Linked DNA regions of Lepisosteus oculatus. The main gene of each other region encodes a partner of the protein of the gene in region 3 in a complex. Links are inferred from orthologs where the notes say so. Each region holds a gene or a part of one and is shown on either strand. Other genes may lie near its edges.

Region 1 (7,860 bases), on a different chromosome or scaffold from region 3:
AATTCAAACATGGAATTAGCAAAGGACTGGTCCAGCACATTTGATTTATTTGGTTACAGGGGAAGTCAGATACAAGCCAAATGTAAAAGCAGCTCTTCAACTGTTCAATTAGTTGATATGGTGACTGAGTAAATTATAGAACTTATGGATCTAGCTGACAATCAAGATCTCCCCGGACAGCCTTAAAACCCTGTAGAGCACAAACATTTAAGAATGAAAATCCCACCTTATCCTTTCCTTACCATTTCCTCTGCCTCTCCTACTTTTTCATCAAAAACTCTCACATGCCGCTTCCTTTCCTCTGAAAGAAGAAAGGTTTTAGAGTTGTGCTCATAGCAAAAAGGTTCAAGTTGCATGCACTGGCATACCTATATTTAAAAAATGCTTGCTCGCTAGAACATCTCTTGTGACCCCAGCTAGGGATTTAGTGCTGTATTCACTACCTCACCATCCCTTACGTATAAAATATTAAATAAGTATAATATAACACATTACTGCTGGTTCCAAAGTGTCCTGTTCTTCCCTAAGTAACATTTCTTTCATATTCTAAAGCAAGTTGTAGAACTTTAAGCAGGCACCAAAGAGGCAGTAAAGAGGTTTTATGTTAAAACTTGTATAGATAAGCACTGAAAAGGAAAGTTATGTTGTACACAAGATTTACAAAAAGCATTTGATTCAAAATACTATTTTCAGAAGTTAAATCCCATTCATCCATTATCTTACTGCTTCATCCAATACAGGGCTGCTGGGGAGCTTAAGCCAATTTTACCAGGTGCCAATTAATCTACTAGTGAGTTTTTGGACTGCGGGAGGAAACTGGAGCTCCCACAGATAACAGACACGAACACGAAGAGAACATACAAACTCCACACAGATAGCACACGAGGGCCATTGCACTGCAAGACAATTTCCTAAATGTTACACCTATTACAAGTAATGTTTTAAAAACGTTCAAAAGAAAGAACAAAATGTGGACCACATATTCTTTGAGGTTCTTGTGTTTTATATGAAATTGGTGACAGTGGTTTAAAACAGTGAAGTTGGTTGCTATAGATGGGTTATCCTGAACAATTTAAAATTCCTCTGTACATTTTCTGTTTCTCATCAGAGGTCTGGCCTAAACCGCCTGTTCCACCCATGACACTTTTATGTCCAAATAAGTCATATACTGCATTATCAGCAAAGAATGCAACCTTATGTGAGTTTTAAGTATCAATCCAGATGAAGGCAGCACCATCAGGAGCAAGTCCTTACTACCAAACTTGTCTCTCGGAATGAACGGAACCAAAATGGGAATGAAATTAAAATTCTGATATCATTACAATTTCATGAGGTTTTCCGAGTTCAGGGCTTCTCTAAAAGAAGAAAACGTCAAAGAATTTTTGTTCCAGGACGTTTTGGATAAATGTTTTATAATTTGTAACGTTTGCACTGCACTTTATAAGTCTCTTGTTTTGTATGTTGCCGTTCTACAAACTGTACGAAAGTTTTGCATTTTATTGCATTTATTAGAATTGTGCATTTCCTACGTTGCTTTGTCGATCTTTATTTTTTTAATATTGAATATAAATTTACTTGAATATTTAGAGCGAATTCTGCGCTCTACTTGCACAGACACATTCGTAAGCCATTCTGTGCCTCTTCAGTGATAACAGAATCAAGGTAACAGCTCAGTTATTCCTAGTACCTTCCTGGAGCCTGTATTCATCTCACGACACCGACTGTCAGCAGCAATAATGATAATATAGACTTCTGACATTTATATTTCACTAAGGAGCTAGAAATCCCAAACGTTGAATTGAGGTAACGTTTTAAAATGTCTCGTTAATATATTGTGTTAGGTTTTCCATCGGAATATTTATCGAATGTGAAGTATTTCCAATTAATATTATATATATTATAATTCCAATGAATTTCTGGTATTTTATTGATTGAAATTCCAGTTCGACTTTCGAAGCCTTTCTACTTACCTCCATAACATCGGGACACTCGGTCTGGCATCACTTTTAGCTCTTCGAAAAGGGATTTATAAAACTCATGCAACTTTTCAAACTCTTCGGAAGACATTTCAGTATTTGTGTTTTGTTTCAAGGAACCAACCGCGTAATTCACCTACAAGTCAAATATAAGTACGTGAAAACAAAAGATTATCGGGACTCCTGGTAATGGTCCTTGCATTTTAGACCACTTTTCGTTGCCTGTTTTGAAGGGATTAACATTATAAGAAGAATAGGTACAATAATAACGCCATATATGCTACGTTATAAAACATGACATTATCTTAACTATTTTTTTAATTACAAGACTTGAAGTTTCCCTCTCAAATGTGTATTTTATAAAGGCTTCTACCAAGGAAAACTAAAGAGCAAAGCTTTATGGACAATGTAGTACTCGGAATGTGTGGGAATGAGCTTCACATGATTAGTGACCCTTTAAATTGTTTTATCTGCAAATATTACAGTATGCTTTCTAAAAAAAAATAAGTTTTTTGTTGTTTTGAGTGGGTATCATATTAATTGATTTATCTAAATGACATATCTAAATGATCTTTTAGAACAGTAAACGTTTCAACAAACCTATAGTGTCCCAAAAATCTCAGTAATCGTCCTCTAGAAAGCCGCCTTTCAAGACAAATTAAAAGATTCGTATACAAGTATATTTACGTATACTTTTATTTTAAATGGAACATCTTTAAGATTCTCTCGGGTAGTTACAGTTTTGTGCACCCAAAACTATGCCAGCTATCAACCTTGTAGACTTTAAACTTAAAAGCAAGTAGTAGAATAACTCGAGTAGAATAACTCTTTGTATGCTACCGCAAAGACTACAGCACTTAAGAGTTAATATTTTTCAAAGAAACGTAGCCTGATACTATTAGACGAGGTTTAAAGCAGAGCACATATAGTGTAAATATGTAACGTTTATCAGAAATATAACTTTACCTGTTGAGGATTTTTTTCCCAGACATTTTTTAGAACTTTTATTTTGAAAGCTTATGAGACTAGGAAGCTAGTTATTTTAAGCGACGCGAATGATCCGGAAGTGTATGTAAATAGCCGAATTTCAATCAAAATAAAAGCCTTCAGCTACCACAGGAGTATAGTATGAGGAGTATAGCAACATTAAGCTGAAACACCTGCTTTGTTATTTCTTCGTGGGTAACTGTAATTCCTTGAACATTCTGCCAAAATTTGAGAGGGTCCTTTTTAATTTTAAATCGTATCCACTAATCTCCAAGTTTGACAAATCTAAGATTATTAGAAGTTTTTATTAATTTTACAGCACCTTTCTTCCATTTATAGTACTGTAAAAATTGTCATTGTTATATTCTTTTCATAGACATGTTTTTTTCCTGTCCAATGAAAAAGGTTTTAAGATGCAAGCTTTTAAAGGAGCTGTATCTGAAATTTCTAATTAAATCAAATCATTTATTATATTTTAATTCAGTTTTTTAGACTATAATCAAGGGCAAAAACATTTTTTTTGCACCATCAAAAGTGGTGAAACATACAATTTTAAGACAGTCAGACAATAGCAAATCACCCTTTTTTTGTCAGATAAGTGGCTCTGTCAAAACTGCTGGGGTTTATAGAGCACCTCCCATTCCCAGACTGGGACCTCTTCAAAAATACCTCAGATCTATTCTACAGACCCACGGCTAATAGAAAATAACTGTGTTTTTTTCAGATAAGTGTTTTTGCTAATGTTACTGGGGTTTATAGGACCGCTTGCTGTTCCCAGACTGGGACTGTGCAGTGATGGACAGGGAAAAGTGTAAACAATAACCGTGATCCCAACCAAAGTAATGCTGACACTGAAGATCATAGTATTGTGACCAAAACCATAGCTGTGACACGGAGTAACCATACAATATAAAAAGGTTCTTAGACATAGAGTGGATGACTGGCACTGTTTTGAAAAGGCAAAAACTGTAATGCATCTGTAAATCATCCAACAGGTAAAAAACACAAAGGTGGAGTGTGACGCTTGCAATGAGTGGATTAATTTTGTTTGTATAGGTATGAGACAGAATGACAAAGATATTGATTCTGTAGGGTTTCTGTGTTGCTCAGAAAATTGTGATGTTAAAGCCACGGCATTAAAAACTGGGTTCAGTTTCTTGAACAAATGTGAAGCAATCAGCAGTGTAATACATAATAAGTTAGATGTAACCAAAAAAAAGTAAAATTGATGTATCACGTCAGCATTGGTGCTCAAACAGCGCTGGATTATCTCATTTGGGGGGCTTATTGTGGTAAGACAGACAATAAACAGATGGTTTCCCAGGATAGGGAGGTCGAGCTAAATGGTGACACAGAAGTGGAAAGTAGTATTGCATGTAGTGCATCCGTCACCCAAGGAAATTGTTCCTCATGTAATTCCCTCAAAAAGTAAAATGCACAGTATGTGCAGAAGTGATGTTGATGGTATGAATCTACATGGTAGGTGTTATGAGAAACCCCGGAAATTAAAACACGAGCACAGTGGTAATTTTCCAAAACCAGCTAAAATAACCAAGGAAATTTTGCAGAGTCGGCATGTATATCTTCAGTGTCATAATTAATTCAGTGGGATTAGAAGATCTCTCTGCTCATATTTATGATACCTGCATTTTCATGGGTAGTAGATAAAATAACACACTTGTCACACAGTCTATTTCCAATCTCAGAAGTCTAGTGTCACAACTGAACACTAGCAGTGTCCCCACTGTTACAGGTGCTGAGGACTCAGATGTTGATTTTGGATGCATAGAGAATGTGAATTCTCCATTTATTCACGATTTAAAAAAATGTACATTAAGGCAATGACAGATATAAACAGACAGGAGAACAAAGAGCCCAATGACTATTTTGGTTCAAAACTTGTTTTGGAAAAAAAAAAATCCTGTCGTCAATCTCAATTTGGACAGACATACTAATGGGTAGATTTCAGCAAGATGGATGGACTACATCAATTTCTGAGGTAAAGCTCAAAATGAATGTGTGGAAAGGTTAGGAACTCTTTACAAAGGAAATTAAAGGGAATTTTGTGATAAGATAAGACTGAATTTTTCTAGAATAAGTAAGTCTCCTGCCCTTGTGGAAGAGGAGGAATGGAACAAGAAAATTCCACAACATCTCAGGCATTCATTCCAAAAACCCCCTATCAAGACAATCAGACATTTTTAGTCTAAATGATACATGCAAAATTTATGGTCATCCAAATGATTACAACAAGCCACCTATCATTACATTCTCAAAAACAAGTGCTGGTTAAATTTTGTCATGTAGCGTGTTAGTAACATGAATGCAATGCAGACCAAAACAAATATTAAATTATTTTCTAAAGGTTTTAAGATTATGCCTGGCTGTTTACTGAATTTGGTCAAACCTTCCATCAACAACCTTAGCAGCTACTTTTCAAAGCCAGTGTTAGATGAGATATGTGAAGTAATATCTTCAGTAGATTTCAAGAGAGAAATTTACCCAGCCAATTTAATAATTCCCCTTATGTCCTGGTTTGTTTGTGGCCAAGTAAACAGTATTACTTCCCATGTAGACTTTTGCTAGAACTGTAGTTTCCTGCATACCGAAAGACGTGAAGTCAGTCATTTTTTGCTTGCACAGATAGCTGAGTTTTTCATGAGTTAATCGACCCTCATACACAAGTCTTTGCTAGAGAACATAGTCACACAGAATTGCTCAAAGTGTTAGCAAACAGTGGTCTGGAAGCAACAATTTAGCTCTTGTCCACAAACTATTGTGATTCAGATTCCCAGAGCACATTCCACTGCGAACTGCAGTTGGAATTGGAAAGTGTTGGTAAAGTGCAATGTACAATTAAATCAACAATATGCCATGAAGGAAAGTCTATAAACAGAGGTGGACATCATTGGGCGGTACTTTTGTGCATTGGACAGAAATTTAGAATTAAAGCAAATGATCAATACATCACAACACAGCCAACACATAGCATAGACCAAACTAATTATTGTGTTTGTTTTCTAGAAATAAGGGAGGCATCAGACAGAGACATATATTGGTCAAACCATGTACTCACTGTTGAGAATGCCAATACTCATGAAACACAAAAAAACCTGGAGCCACTGAACAGTTACATATCAACTCTACTGCATAGTAAAGAGGCACTGAAAGAGTCTTTGAATAGCTTGCAATCAGTGACAAAGAAACAGACAGCCTTACCTGTAACAATACACAAGACTTTCAAGACCCTTCTGGGATCTAAAGCTATTCAGATTTCCAAAAATACGTGTAGATGCCGAACCAGGTAAAATTGACATAGAAGTTTCGTGAGAAATTCTCTAATATTAGATTCTATCATCCAAAATTGAACCCCGGAGGGTTTCTTGCAGTTCAATGAGGTTTTTCCTCCCCCCTGTGCTGTGGAGAATTTATGTGTCCAAAGGATAATAGGCCAGACAGCTGAAGCAGCATTTGAATGCTGTCTGAGTAGTTCTACACTCAAAATAATAAAAGCTGATGTAATTTAAGAGAAAATCTGTAGTGTTTTAATACAGAACACTTACAAGGCATCTTTACTTCCCAGTCTTTCGGAACGCATGGGGGGAATCAATTAACAACTAGTACTTGGGCAACATGTGAGCCACCGTTTCCACATTACTGGATCAAATCAAAAAGGCTCCATACCATGTCTGTGGCAGAGCCACCTTCCCAGGAAAGATACATCACCATTGAAGGTCTATTCAATATTTTGGCTGTTTCAATACACTCTAATAAATTTAATAAAGCAGAATACCAAAGTTTGATAATATGTCTTACATTTACACTCCAAACAATTATCCCATAGACAGTAAGGAAAAAAGTGTGAAATTGACACTTTATTTCAAACCAGAAAGGATAATCCACTGGTGAAGTGTTAACAATGCCCACATTGTGATATCATGCCCTTCGAGACAAATCTAGTATCGGCCACTAAAAGACCCCTATAAACCCCAGCAACATTGGCAAAGGACGCTCATCTGGCAAAACCATTAGCTGAGTACTATAGTACTATTAGCTGAGGATCTGTAGAACAGATCTAAGTCACTTTTGGAGAGGAACAAATTTTTATTTGGTCGGGAGGGGAATGAGACCACTCCCTGTCCATCACTGCACGGTTCCAGTCTGGGAACAGCAAGTGGTCTTCTAAACCCCAGCAACTTTAGCAAAGACACATATAATGACAAAACCTCGGTTATGTACTATTAGCTGAGGGTCTGTAGAGTAGATTTGAGGTATTTTTGGAGAGTGCCCATCGCTGCACTGTCCCAATCTGGGAATTGGAGGTGCTCTATAAACCCCAGCAGTTTTGACAGAGGTGCTTATCTGAGAAAACCATGGTGATTTTCTATTAGCTGAGGGTCTGTAGAATAGATTGGAACTACTTTTGGAGAGGCACAGTTTTTTTTGTCAGGAATTATACTTTTCCATGTCTAGCAATGCACAGCTCTGTGTCAATTTGCAAGGAGAAAGTGTTATAAAAACACCAATAAGATTGCAAGAGAGCAAAAAAATTAATGAAGAACGGCAATTCCTTATTACCTGTGGGTCTATTTATCACATTCCACCTAGTTTTGAGGATGAACAAATTGTTGTTGTGACTATAAATGTGACTTTAACTGGCCCAGGATTATTTTTTATGAGGCAGGTTTTATGGGACTTTTATTTTGAAAGGTGCTGACAAGCCAGCGCCGCTTAATGTCGCTAAATTCACGCTACTCAATCAAAGTAAAAAGTCCTTCAGCTATTACAGTAACGTACAGCTGAGCAAAGAGCAAGAGTAGCGAGCGTGAAGAGAAGAAGAGATACATGTAGGTGAAGGGGGAAGGTTACAATGTTGACATTAATTGCAATTCTAGGT
Region 2 (6,955 bases), on a different chromosome or scaffold from region 3:
ATTCTGTAGTATAATAATAACCTTGTGCCAATGCTGAAATATTACAAGGTCCTAGGTGTAGCTGCAAAATACTGAAAAATTAAAGACTTCTGTTTTTTTCTACAGCACACCTTCATTCACCTGCCACATTACAGCAGCTTTAAATTGTGTACTCCCCCTGTCTTAAATATTTTAAAGACAAACCGATCCGCCTCCCTCTTTCACCACTCTAAAAACAACTAGTAGTTCTTCCCATTCCTGATCCGTTTATCATCTAGGATAACTTCATAGGTCATAGGAGTATGTTTTCTGCTGCTCTCTAACCTTCGTTTTCATTTCTTATAATCTTAAAATTACTCCTAGGTACGAGAATATTCCAGAGAAGCAGAAACGCACATGAGGAACACCCACTCCCCACAAACCAAACCACCAAGAAGCATTCTGCAATCAGGATACCAGCAAACCTTCTCATTCTCTTTCACAGGATGAAATTTCACATTTAAGAATGCACAGAGAAATGTTGCTATAATCAGGGTTAAAACCAGAAACCTTTGTTTCGATGTACAGATTATATTGCGTTCTGTGAATTTCAGTTTTACTGGGAAGAAACGGCGGTTTTTCAGTCTTTTGGGGGTGCTTCACCACAACGATCAGAGCTTAATGAGGCCTGTATCATTAGGAAATATTTTCAATTTCTCATATAATTGAGAAACTCATTGCAAACCCCTTGTCAATTAAGGAACAAAACTTTTTCCCTTTGTCCACTTTACGTCTGTGTCCTAGAGACTAGGTAGTAAAGTATAAAAAAAACTAAGACCAGTCCAATTGAGACATAGCACAAAATCTTCCGGTTGTCCCTTCCAGAGCGAACCATTGTAGAAAACCTCTTCACACTTCCTGTCAAGAGCCCTGTGGTGCTCAAAAAGTTTGAGTCCTTGAGAAAACAAAAAGAACGTGTAAATACAGCACAAGTCCAATTAAAAACAGGTTTTAGCTTTTGTAGGAATACATGTTAAGGGTCATGTGATTCACAAAACTCTAAAGTTCTAGGTAGTTAGGAACAAGTGGAATTAATATTTTATTGCTTGTCTGCAAAGAAGATGATTCTGTGTAACAAAATACACCTCAATATATAACACACCCCTGTATACCCACAAGTGGGAGAGAACATGGAGTTTGTAGGCATAAGAATTGACACGACACAAGTGGAATATTTCAGACAGACAAACCAAAATAACTGTTACTAAGACACCTGCAATAGTTGCAAACCAGAGCATGGCTTTAAAACTCTTAACTTTCATGACTCCAGCTCCTATTATTCCTATTATTATAACAGAACTATCAATAGAGTTGTGGGCCCACATAGCTGTTTCCATAATGTTTAACAATCCCCCAAAAATGTATGTAATGTAAAAATCCCCCCAAAAATGTTACTTATCATCAAAGTCATCAGTTTTTTTTTCTGGTGGAGTATATTAAGAGTTTTGCATCATTCAGCTGCAAGTCATTCTTGACCTTAAAGTCAATCCTGTTCCTTTGTTTCCCTTTAGGCTATCGCAGCTACTTTTTCAGTCCTGTCCAGTCACCAGAACAACCAAATAAGGTGCTGCCACAGAATCCTGAAGTTGTAGATGAACAACAGTACTATCACAAACTTTATAATGAACAAATTGCATTCCCAGTCACATTAGCATAATAATGTTTCAAATTCATATCTTATCTTAGGCCCTGCAAATTGCTCTTACCATGCCATCAAGATAGGAATTTTGGTCCTCAGCTTCTTTATCTATTTCAAAGGCCAGCTGTTAAATAAAAGCATAGAAACACTTATTAAGGAGTGCGCAACAGCAGTATCTCAGAGTCCTGTAGTAAATCTTTTGTTTCTGTATGATACGACTGGTAAACTGCATTCTTAGTTCTGATAGTAAAAATGTTGTGAAACAAAGTGAAGCCCAGGTTTGTACAAACACATGAGCAGTGTATTGGAATTCAATACTATTAGAGAATAGTAGGCTTGTCTCTGTATCGGTCTTCTGTAACGGGCCGTTTACAATCTACTTTTGCAAATTAAAACAATGAGATCATAAATCTATTACCAAGTTACTGATAAATGTTTTGGAAAATAAAAAAACGCTTTAAAATCATTTTAAAAACACACATATGCCACAAGGTGTAGTAAGAGGTTTAAATACATACTGATTTTAGTCTGGAGACTTTAGTGGCCAGATTGTCTGCCAAGAGCTTATTCTCAACATCCAGCATCTCATCCACAGCACCAGAGCCATGTCCTTACCACGAGGAAAAACAGCAAGAGAGAAGAGCATCACAAAGTAAGTGAGCACCCGTTTCAAAGCCTGTCTCAAGGCAGCACGAACACAGTTCACAGTGATAATATAAGCATGTTTGAAGACGATCAGACACACTAGAAACAAATTATATAACGCGGAAAAGGAAAACCATTTGAATTAATTATGACCAAGTGTGGGTGCCAGACGAAGCCTTAAAGAAAGCAGAGCTCTGCCCACCCTTGATTACTCCGGTTGATGCCACAATTTAATGATCAGAAACCTGTTTGATACAAACTACTCTGTGTGATCAGCGTTCCTTGAGTAATTTTAAGTAGATTAAACGAAGTAAAAAACCGTCTGAATAATGTTTAGGACGCTTACAGCATGCACATCATCAGCTTAAATGCTGTCTTTATTTTTATGACTCTACTTCGATTCAGCGATGTCTCGTTTGTAACAACTATTATACTCGTTACATTGATCAATTATTAGCTTGATGAAGCATCATAATTATATTTATTTCACTTGTTCTAGTCCAATTTACAACACCTAGTATCCACAACTTTATATACGTTTAACACACTTGTCAAGAGAAACTTTCAGACTATACAACCACACAAAAACACTATTAAACCAATAAAATATTATTTAGAATTGACTACGTGTCCACTTCCTACCTCTATTCCAGTCAGCCATCTTTGTTGACTTCCTTCTTCTGGGAAGAGGGTTAAAGGTAAAGTAACGGATACGTCACATCCTGTTACATTAATAGGGTAATGTTTGAAAGTAAAAATGTTATTAATGTCTCGTCCATATATAATGCTGATTTTATTAGAGTTGCCCTTTGGAATAAATAGATTGGAACATACATTGGCCTTGTCTTTCAATAAAAAAATAAGTGCACTATAAAATAATCCTAAAATATACGCAACTAATCCGATTGTTTCGTTTCTAAATTAAAAAAAATACATCATATTTGTTATTTTCGCCAATCAGGAAGAAAGAAATATCTTTTTGCAAATTACTGTGACAACAAAACAGAGTAAAATTATAAAATCAATTATAATTTAAATTCATTTTGAAATTAAGCAGAACTGCCTAATTTACAATAATTTTGATATATTTGTAACTATTAATAGTTAGAACAAACGCCAGAAGACACATCATCCTGCAGCTCACAGCTCACAGCTGGCAGCCCACTAAAGCTCAGCAGGGTTAATCCTGGTCAGTACTGGGATGGGAGACCTCCTGGGAAGCTATGGCTGCTGCTGGAAGTGGTGTTAGTGGGACCAGTGGGGGGTGCCCACCCTGTGGTCTGTGTGGGTCCTAATACTGTAGTGGGTGCTGTCCTTCGGATGAGACATTAAACCAAGGTCCTGACTCTCAGCGCTCATTAAAGATCCCTGGGCATTTCTCGATAAGAGTAGGGAGTTATTTTAAAAAGATATAATAACCAAATATAATAAAAGTTTTTTTTCAGTGTTACAACAGCATAAGAACAGATACAGATTTAAATATCAGAAGCTTTTAGGAAATGAAACAGAAAGGAGTGATATATTTCTTATTTTAGAGGGGTGGTCATCAGGATAGAAATCAACAACATTCCTCAGGCTGAGCAAAGGCCAAGATCTGTATTGAATACAATTAGCATAGAAGAGGTGGTGGAGTCGCAGGGATTAGAAGCCCCTAAAATTAACAGATAGGCCAGCCAGGGCCTAATGACATCCTACTAATTGGTTTTAAGGAAAGGAAAGATGTAACTATTAACCCTGTAGTGCCAGATTAATTATGTCATCCCTTAGTATCATCCCTTGAGTATACATCCCTTATTTATATCTCTTTTTTATCCTTATGACCAATTTTCATTTCAAGGCTAGAATCTGAGACTCAATCTTTTATGAGGACCATTATTAAAAACCTTTCTGAAAATCTAAATATATCATGTCATATGTCACATCCATAGCTGCTGTTATTTGTTCAAACTGTTCTAACAAGTCAAGCAAGACAGGCTTAACTAACTGCATGGTGACACCCTGGTTAGCATCGTTGTCTTGGACTGCTGGAGCGCTGTGCTCAGTTTTGGACCTGTGAATTAAATACAGATCATTTATGATACATACTTACTGTAGGTGTGTACATCATTTATATGTGGGGAAGGCAGAGAGTGAGTTAGAAATTATGATTAAATGTCTAGAATGTAAATAAAGTGATGTTTGGGCAAAACAGTAAAACACTTTAGTTTTTGTTTTTGTAGAATATTGTGAACATTTTTTTTTTTATCAGCACGTTATAAGAACATCATTACTGCTCTTGAATCATTCCAGAGAATGGTGTCCAGATAAATTCCCATACATCTGTGAGTGTCATATACTGATAGGCAAAATATTTTTAGTCTTGAGCAGGGAATACTACAAGGGGAATGCAAAATCCTTAAAGGCAATCCAATTGACTTCATCAGATTCAACATTGAAACATGAACCAGAGAACATAAATTAAATTTAAATAAGCAGAATCCTACACATTGTATAAACCCACAAGTTTAATGCTACCAGTAAAGGATCACACTTTCCGCATATACTTTCCATTTTCTACACTGTATTGACCAAAAAGAAGGAAAGAAGGACACATAACAACTGAGAAAATATACAGACCTCTGGGTTAGTCCAATTGTTAATTTTGTTAAGGAGAGGAGTAAAATATGACCTGTTAAGTATCATATGTTTAGTACCACGTACTGATTGGAAAATCAGTTTTTTTTAAATAAAAAAAGTATTTTAAAAAGTCTCTACAAGTCCTTTGATTCAACACTTAACTATCATACACATAGAAAATCTTTAGGAATTTTTCCCACCTGAGAATTGATATTGAAATATTTTTGTACAAGTCGTAAGAAGGTTAAGTGACTGGCAACTTTGTCTTTAGTATAGTTTTAGCTTAGTATCGTGATTAGTTTCACTCTTTGTTTTGTTGCAATAGAAGTGTTATTCCTTATTCCAAGGGGGATAATTAAATGAGTCGTGTTGTTGAATTCAAATGTAAAAGCTCATCAAATGTTTGTTAATAAGGCTTGTGAATCGCAGGCTCACTTTTCCAAGCACTTTTCTTTTATATAAGACGATTTGTGGACGGTATGTTCACCAGTTAATTGTAAGAATAACACCAGGGAGAAAGAGAAGAGATACACAAGAAAAAGAGCAAAAAAGAGTGCGGTTTTGCAAACCCTAAATGTACCCTTTTTTTAAAACAATGTGAATATGTCTATCTTAACACCTCGCGTTGTATCAATACATCCCCAGCATATTGTAGCAGTATTACACCTAGAGACTTGCACCTGATCGTGTAGAAACAAAAACGTAAAACTACATTTCCCAGAAATCCTTACGCACGCTTACAATCCTGCGTTAATCTTGTTCCAGGACTTTCGAGTTTCAGGGATAAGAGCTGGTAGAGTAAGGTAACGCAGTGAGACACATCAGAATATTACCCAAAGCAAGGCGTGTATGTGGTTGTCAGTTTGACTTGAACAACAATAACTGCGTCTGTAATACAGCAATGAAAATGGAATTCAATGCCATCATAGAAACGATGCAAACAGGAGACCAAGATGCCGCATTGAAGGCACTGCAGGCTTACAATAAGGAGGTATAATTTAGTATTTTTCATTTTTATACGTATTTGGTTAACATCTTGTATATTTATATATACGATTCGTATCCGTTAACCGTGTTTCCATGTGTGGGCTTCGAAATGCAGGGTATACAGTATCTGTGATTTGTTAGTGTGTTTAGCCGACTACCTTCTATTTTTACAGAAATGCATGTTTTCTGTCATTACCATCCTGACATGATGTGAACATCCTAAGTGTAACATATTTAATAGCTTCGATGTGATCTGGATTAGGGAGCCCTGGTTGTCAGCTTGAATGCATTTAATTTTATTGAATCAAACTGCCATTCACAATGGTACAGTTTGCATTTTTAAATTTTAAATGAAAATAATTAGCCATAACAACAGTGTCGCCCTAAAACGCAGGCGTATATTCTTGGTAGTAACTTTTACATTTATTTCTCAGCATTATTTAACGATGATAATTTTACATAATGGTACATCCACTCGCTGGAATACAGTTTGCCCAGGCTATTTTGTCATTGATACCAATGCTTTTGGATAGTGCAATGCAGGCAGAAATGTAACATTATTTTTTATATCAATAATCACCATCACAGCCTTGAAGAACAAAACGTATATGTAATACTTAAAATTATCTAGATCTTTGTTGGTTTTGAGATACAGGAAGACTGGGGCAATGGTCTTGGGCTGAGAGTGCAAGATACAGCTCTGTGTTAATAGTAGGTGTGTAAAGCACCTTCACCATAGTTGCCATTCTGATAGTGTAGCAAACTATTGATTTATTCTGTGCAGCTGTTATTTCAAGTGTAGTAGTAAATATCTTAATTGAAGTCATTATTATTTTAATATGTAGCTCTGGAACCCAAGCTTCACTCCAAGTTCCTTCTAGCAAGCTGAATAATACATCAGCAGGCAACTTTTTACTATTATTTTTACTTAATGTTTTTTGTGAACTGTTTTTACTTATCAGAGTAGGTACTCCATACAATTGCTTTGATGCAAGTACTGTATATAACGGTCTCTGAAGTTGTGAAATCTGGTGTGGAAATGAAGATACT
Region 3 (7,369 bases):
AATCTGCTGAAATGGTATTTCATAAAATATGATTTTTTAATACTATATTGAAACCACTATATATAGTATTTTACAGCCGATTTCAAACAGTCTGCATTCTTTAAGAAACAGGTATGAAAATATTTATTCAGTACCTCATGTTTTGTATTATTCAAGATGAAGATAAAAACACATTAATGTCCTTTGTTTTCATAACTATACATTTTGAAATATTTAGAGAGGCAAAATAAAAAAATCTAAGAACTTTTTAACTGTTAAAGAGAAGGGAGAAATTGTGATTCACGGCAATAAAATCTTTGGTTTACATTACAATTATTTTCTTAAATATTTATTTTTAAACTTTGCCTATAACCTAATGTTCATACTGAAATGCATACAAGGTTTCATAAACTTTATGTAGATTTCCACTATTCTAAAAACATTGGTGCCACCGGTTCAGCTGTTTTGAAGACTGAAATGCTTCAACAGAACACAGATGGAAGAAAGAAGCACTTAATGAATAAGGCCAAATTTACCGTACAGAATGTCAGCTGACGTCTAGAAATTGCTAGAATAAACATTGATTGATATGCTACATGGGCAAAACACTAAGAACTGACGATTAAACAATTTCAATTTTACAAGGGAGACAGATACCAGCAGCTGAATCAACCTCCTTGCATAGGATTTCTAGGCATTTCACATTCAGAATGCAACACGGCAATGCCCTGCTCTTGATGGCATTTAATTAATGTGTTTTCATCTCTTTTATTCATTGATTGAATGTTAAATCATGAATTCTATGTTACCAGTGGCTTTCTATTGTGTAGTTTATTGATGTTGGATCTTCCTGCAATTTTCCATTTCTCTTCCGTTAAAGATCTCTTTAGATTTTGGCTCTTCACAATTCCAATGTCTTAGGCATTCTCTAACTGGTCGTATCTGCTAAAGCTGATGTTTTAACAGTGCAACTATACAACAATTGAATACTCCTTGTACAATTGTCCCATTGAACAGTTAGAGAGCTCAAGAGGCTCTTTCTGTCAAAGGTTTTAGGCACAGAAAATACGGTTCCAATAAAAAAATAAATTACACTCAGATGTTGCATCAAGGTGAAGTCACTATAACTTGACAGTGCAGGAATATGGCACTAAAAGGAAAAGAAAAAGGTTTTTTTTTTCTCTTGGGGAAATACGACTTCACACAACAAAAGAACCCCACTTGTCTTTAACTTTACTCTAAATGAAATTTCACTTGGGTGGTATGCAATGGTGAAGAACAGAAGAATTTACAATTTCCTCTTTTTGACAAACAAGGACTGAACGAATAAAGCTTTGATAAGGATATTTGGTTATTTCATAGTTCAAATAGTATCTTTTAAAATTAACAAGGACTACATCCAGAATTGTAAAAAAAAAAAAGTAAAAGCATTTACTTAACTTTTAAACGAACCAAATAGGATAAAATAAACATGTTAAATGCCCTTCAGTAAATGTCTATGGGGAAAAGAGTAACGCAGAATAAGTGAATGGTAAATTCTCAAATGAGAGAAAAAAAATAACCTAATCCTATTAAACATGATTCTGGAATAAAAGGACAGATTCTTAACATGATTCGACTCATATTATGCCTCATGCATCATGACAGAAACTACCTGGGCCTCTGATCAGTAACACTGCTCATTTATAATTTACCACCACTTTAAGGTTTACGTCATATTTGTATTATTAAAAAAAAACAATCAAATTAAGTTGTTGGCTAAATCTTCATAATGCTAAATAAGAGTCTGCACAGTCAAATTATTTCTTTTCTGCTTTTGTGACATTAGATGTTCAGATACATTTCGGGTAAATGTAGTGTGGTGAGAAGGTCTTTATGAACCAGGAATCTTTTGTAACAGAAAAAGGTCATATTCCAGCAAAGGATGCAGTAGAATGCTATCAGCAAGTCAAATATGAAAATTCAATTTTTATAGAATAAAATACTGAAGGTAATTATTAAGGTTTAATAACACCTGAGCCTCTGAGAAATGACTGGTATTTGACCATAGGTATCTGCATGCCAGGCTCCATTTTAAAGTGTACCTTAGTTCAAGTGTACCCTCACACTACACATCCTCTGTCACCACACTAAGACTGCACTGTATTTTTCTGTTCCAGAGCAAAGAATGCCATCTACCGGGTCCGTCACTACTTGCAGTCCTCCACTGTTTACAATGTGTAAGTACTGCTGCAGTACCACAGAGTAAAGTACCAGCAACTTCAGTTACGATTGATGATACATCAGACGGTTTCACATTAGGTAAAGAAACAGTTTCAGAAAGACTATATATTCATAGTTACATTTTCCTTGATGTGTATCTTAACCTCGACATGTGCATCTAGTATAAAAATCCCACGCTTTCTTTCATTAAAAAAAAACATCCTGAGCATATCGCTATTGAAACTGACGCCATGTCGGCTCAATATGATGACAACATGACAAACAGACTTTGCATTTATACATTTCTGAAGTTAAGGCGAGTAGAAATTCTGGACACCAAAATTAATGGAAAATGGAGATAATTTATTTATGTAACTTCTTATTGCATTATGATATAGCACTTTTAGAATGTATTTATTTGAGATTTATTAAGAAAGTCGACAGTTTTGTGAAGAAAATGTGTAGGTGCTACATTCCGATTTAAAACACCTTACATATTCGGTCAATGAAAAAATAACTGTAATCTGCATAACTAAACTCTCTGTAAAACAGACGGTTTATAAATGTTTGTATTCCCAGAATCTTATTTCTGGACTGTAATTACACTCACCACTTCCTTAGCTTTTGTGGAGAAGTCACTCTTAAGTCTGGTTTTCTTCAGGATGTCATCTTTTGTACTGTCGAATCCAACCCCAATGGCTTTATTTCGGGTTTTCACAGTCTTTACGCTCGCTTTGAACAATAACGTTATATCAACAGCCATTTCTAAACCATGCCTTTCTCACAAACGTTGAAAATTAAAGCAAACCCCCTGTATCTGCTGTCAACAAAGACACGTCACCGTCTTTAACGTCATATTTCTGCGACAGACCAATACACGTGGTCTTTCTCCCTTCCACATAACGTTTGGCGATTGCAGGATTGGTCCATATTATTCTTTTTTTTTTGTTCTTGATATTATAGAGTCTGAAAGCATTAAGCATATTTTAGACTAACTTAAAATTATTTATTAAAACACACTTGAGGAGGTTTAAGAGTGTGTAATGCAGTCCGTAGTGTTCATATTCAAAATAAATGTTTAACAGTTTACTCTTTAAATCAATTATGTAGTGTGAAGTCTCATAAAATTATGAGAAGATTGTAATATATACGTTTACTCTGAAATGAAAATATTTGAAGACATTTTTATACATATGCAGAATGTATTGTGTATTGGATGAACTTAATTTAATCACAACATGTTTTACATACATCATATAATAAGAGCAGTGCTCATACAAGAAAAAAACATTTTTGGATTTTGATGTATGTATAGAAATGTAGCTTCCTTATAAGAACGACTGACTGCAGTCACAAGAGTGTCACAACTTCAATCGGTAAGCAAAGCAGAGAATGTTGAAGCTGTCAGCATCTGCTATTGACACACCACAGGGAAGGCCAAGAATATCAGCATTAGTCAGACTTCTAGATTTTATGAGAGGGATTCATTGTCCAGTTTGCTTTGAAATGCTTGCCCTCCTTAATTTACAATGTGAAGTGGTTATGTGTCATAAATAACTTTGGAAAATAGGTAGTCTGCCTATTCTAATACTAGGTTTTACATGGGAAAACATAGTCGTAAGGTTTGCTTGCACATAGTTATGCACTACAATAAAATGTTACTTGACAAAGGAAATGCCCATAGCATGATTCACAAAGGCTTGTGAAGCAGAACTCAAATATTTGCTAGCTTGGATCACAAAGGTAATGGTAAACTGCGTGAACCACACACAAAAATGACACCTTTTTGCATAAAAAGACCATTGACATCCTGAAATGAATATGTAGATAGTAAGAGAAATGTAATAGTTCATTGCTTTTGTATAAAAACAAGCTTTACAAATCACCAACATTCTAATTTATTTGTATTAAACTGTATAGTAAACTAATATATTTGTTATGGTACTGAAGCTAACTAATAATATAGTCAGTTCAGAAAATATATTTGACAACTAACCAGTTAACATGGAGAAATCATTTAAACTAAGAGTTCTGTCAGCAAGGAGTGATTGTTGCTACTTACCTTAAACTTATTGATTTTACATTTTATTTGGTGTATGGCTTTTGCATTTAATAACATTTTTTGGTCAAAGCCAAGAATAGTTGCAAGCCTTCAGGGCATGGCAAAATACCATGTACAAACAAGTTCTTAATCTTAAGTGTTTTATGAATTGCAGTGGTGTAATGAGAGGTGGACAGGTAAAGAGAATATATAAAACTCCATGAACTTGTATTAGGGACATTCTCCCCCTTCATTCTTCATGAATACAACATAATCACCTCTGGAGTCTGTGTATCATTCTGTTATGATGCTATGACCTCTATGCAGCTCTGTAGACAGTGTAGTTAAACAATACTGCTTTAATATATTTAGGAACAAGTAATAGGTTTATTCCATGCTGAAAAAAAGAAGAAAGAGAACACAACGTTTCGGCCATGGAGCCTTCTTCACACCTGAAGAAGGCTCCACGGCCGAAACGTTGTGTTCTCTTTCTTCTTTTTTTCAGCATGGAATAAACCTATTACTTGTTCCTTTGCAGCCTACGCATGCTGACGCAGCTACCCACCTTTAATATATTTATATTTATATTATATTTAATATAAATATATACACTATAATCTGATTTAAACATGCATATTCAAATGGTATGTTAGAAACTATTAATGATGTTTTTCATTTTTACTGAAGGAATACATTAATCTGCCATTAATAAATTCCACACACACACAAAGTTATCTTTAGTTGTTCACTTACTTTCATTACCCTATTGTCCTATTAATATTTTCCTTAATTTATCGTTTGCAAAGCTATACAATACATGGTTAGACAAAATGTAGTCAAACGTGACACAAAATTTTGTAAGAACAAAACAAAGGCTACAGACAAGACAAGGCCGTTCTGCTCATCTGTGTTATTTAGATGATAGATAATTAATTGATCAATTGTGGATCCATCTGTTTCTAGAACCCAGGGTATCTGCTTTTACAACATGACTGGATAATATGTACCAAATTCCCACAAATCTTTGTGTGAAAAGTACGTCCTGTTTTCACTTTTAAATGCACTCTGCTCCCCCACAGAAAGTGCATTAGGATGAGAAGTGGTCATAATAAAGGCCCTTGTGATACTGCAGTAATTTTCTTAATCCAAAAACATTGCATAAACCATGTCATTTTCTCTGTATATATTACTGTTGTTATAGCAAAATCGTTTAGCAAGACATACCTTTTCTATATCATTGTTTGCTATATTATAAAACCCTACTGTTCTACAGATATGATCTGCCAGGTAAGTTCTAATATCATTTCCATAAGATCACCTGTAATAAGACCTATTGGATTATAAATAGTAGGTTCTGATAATCACTATTTTTATGGATGTGTGCAACATTATCCATTTTCCGGTCAGTGGGTATTAATCCTCTCCTAAATGACTGTGGGAAAAGTTTTGCCAACAGTCGAGGAATAACATCTATTATTTTCTTGAGAGCAATTGGTAGAAAATAATCATGCCTTGAAATTGACTTAATCTTAAGTGTTTCTAATATCTGCTCCAGTCACACCCAATACCTGACGGCAACACGAACAACAAAAGAGTGACAAGTCAGTTATTTTAATTTAACTGTGTGTTGATAAACAGTTCATTACATTCAGTTTATCATTCAAAGCTTCTGAATCTAAAGGCTGTTCAACTAAACTTTATTTTTCATACTGAATATGGAATTCACAACTACAGGTTTAATAGCTGAGTGAAGAGACACACCAAGAATGAAGGAAAAAATAAATTGCCCGACTGTTAATCCTGCTGGTCTGCTTTCACTTGAAAGTGTCTCTTTTTCAACATTATTTTCTGTTATTGAGAAATAACAAATGGTATTGTTGAAAAACTAAATAAAAGATTACTGTTTAACCACAAGACAAATTATTTTACAAGCTCATAGCAAAGGTTTACTTTGGAATAATCTGGCTGTTTTCATTCAAGTAATTCATAATGTGTGACTTTCTTCATTGTCATTTTTATTATAGTCTTTACAGATGTTTTCTAATGATCATTTACTTTTAGATAGTTAACTAAGTCAATTATTACTAAAAATGTTGTGCTCCATTTCAGACCAAATCCGGTTTGGTGCTTCAGGAGCAGTTAAACATCTGTCTACCTTTCTAGTAGCAATAGAAAGGAAATCACATATATCCTTTTACAATATATAGCCTCTGTTTTAATTACTCTTTCTGTTTATTGCAGGAAGTGGATAACAGGTTACTAATCTACATAAATATTTACGTGTTCACACGTTTACTTATTTTTACATATGTCCAAACATACATATTTAAAATTACTATTTGACTAAAACCAAATTCTGCATTTGCCAACGTAAATAAAGAAATAATGTCCTGTCTAGACTTATGTAGTAATTTGTACGTAATATTTCTTACAAAACCATTTATTTGAAGTCCCTTGGAACTGTACCTAAACTTAAAAAGTGGCATTAATGTTTAGCATAAAAAGCCTGTTATTTGCTGTGTGGTTTTCTCATTTCCTTTGTTAATGCTGCATTATAAACCCTGCTCTGTATTGCATAACTCTGTGATTCCATCTCCACTTTCGCAGCTTCAGCACCTAAGCCTTACAATTTCTGTGTTTTCTCCTGTGTTGAATATAAAAGTAGCTTTCATTAACTGACAAGTTACAGTGCCCAAGTACCAGACAGAAATTTCTGATGACGATGGCATTTGACAGCCATTGACCTCAAGCAAACCCCCCCAATTACATCTTCAGACAGCTCATGCCGCCAGCTTGTAAAAAAAAGAGTCCAGTGAAACTTTCTGAGGCCAATCAGGTGTGCACTGTGGAATTATCCTTTTTTCTTACACCAGTTCCAACAAAAGCATTGCTTTACTTTGATTTTAGTAGAAGCCGTCACTAAAACCAATTTCTGTGTTATTAATAAACATTTTTAGCATAGAAATGAATCTGAACACAAGCACAGTCTAGAGTATTAAAATTAAAATGCTTAAAATGCCTTTGTAAATGGAAAACAACATAATTCTTCCTTTTCATTTTTAAGGTTTGGAACAGTATTTTATTTATTTTTGTAATTCATTTATAATATAATATAATACATAGCAAATATAAGGGTTATTGCCAAAA

Evidence for each region. Proteins that work in one complex are often made in the same cells at the same time.
Region 1: stx18 (region 3) and vti1b share a complex: the UniProt entries of both Homo sapiens proteins name them as parts of the SNARE complex. The link is inferred for Lepisosteus oculatus from reciprocal best matches to the Homo sapiens genes STX18 and VTI1B.
Region 2: stx18 (region 3) and bet1l share a complex: the UniProt entries of both Homo sapiens proteins name them as parts of the SNARE complex. The link is inferred for Lepisosteus oculatus from reciprocal best matches to the Homo sapiens genes STX18 and BET1L.

Annotation. Positions count from the first base shown.
Region 1 is NC_090703.1:26,309,711-26,317,570, reverse strand, and holds the start of vti1b (vesicle transport through interaction with t-SNAREs homolog 1B), read right to left. Parts: upstream 3,028-7,860; 5' UTR 2,943-3,027; intron 2,423-2,942; exon of another isoform or gene 2,113-2,422; 5' UTR 2,068-2,112; coding exon 1,971-2,067; intron 302-1,970; coding exon 243-301; intron 1-242. Other genes in the region: rdh12 (retinol dehydrogenase 12), read left to right, coding at 7,834-7,860. UniProt on the Homo sapiens protein: V-SNARE that mediates vesicle transport pathways through interactions with t-SNAREs on the target membrane. These interactions are proposed to mediate aspects of the specificity of vesicle trafficking and to promote fusion of the lipid bilayers.
Region 2 is NC_090716.1:11,901,612-11,908,566, reverse strand, and holds the start of bet1l (BET1-like protein), read right to left. Parts: upstream 3,028-6,955; 5' UTR 2,964-3,027; coding exon 2,945-2,963; intron 2,268-2,944; coding exon 2,176-2,267; intron 1,782-2,175; coding exon 1,725-1,781; intron 914-1,724; coding exon 746-913; 3' UTR 1-745. Other genes in the region: ric8a (synembryn-A), read left to right, coding at 5,820-5,909. UniProt on the Homo sapiens protein: Vesicle SNARE required for targeting and fusion of retrograde transport vesicles with the Golgi complex. Required for the integrity of the Golgi complex.
Region 3 is NC_090696.1:43,625,073-43,632,441, reverse strand, and holds the start of stx18 (syntaxin-18), read right to left. Parts: upstream 3,037-7,369; 5' UTR 2,945-3,036; coding exon 2,792-2,944; intron 1-2,791. UniProt on the Homo sapiens protein: Syntaxin that may be involved in targeting and fusion of Golgi-derived retrograde transport vesicles with the ER.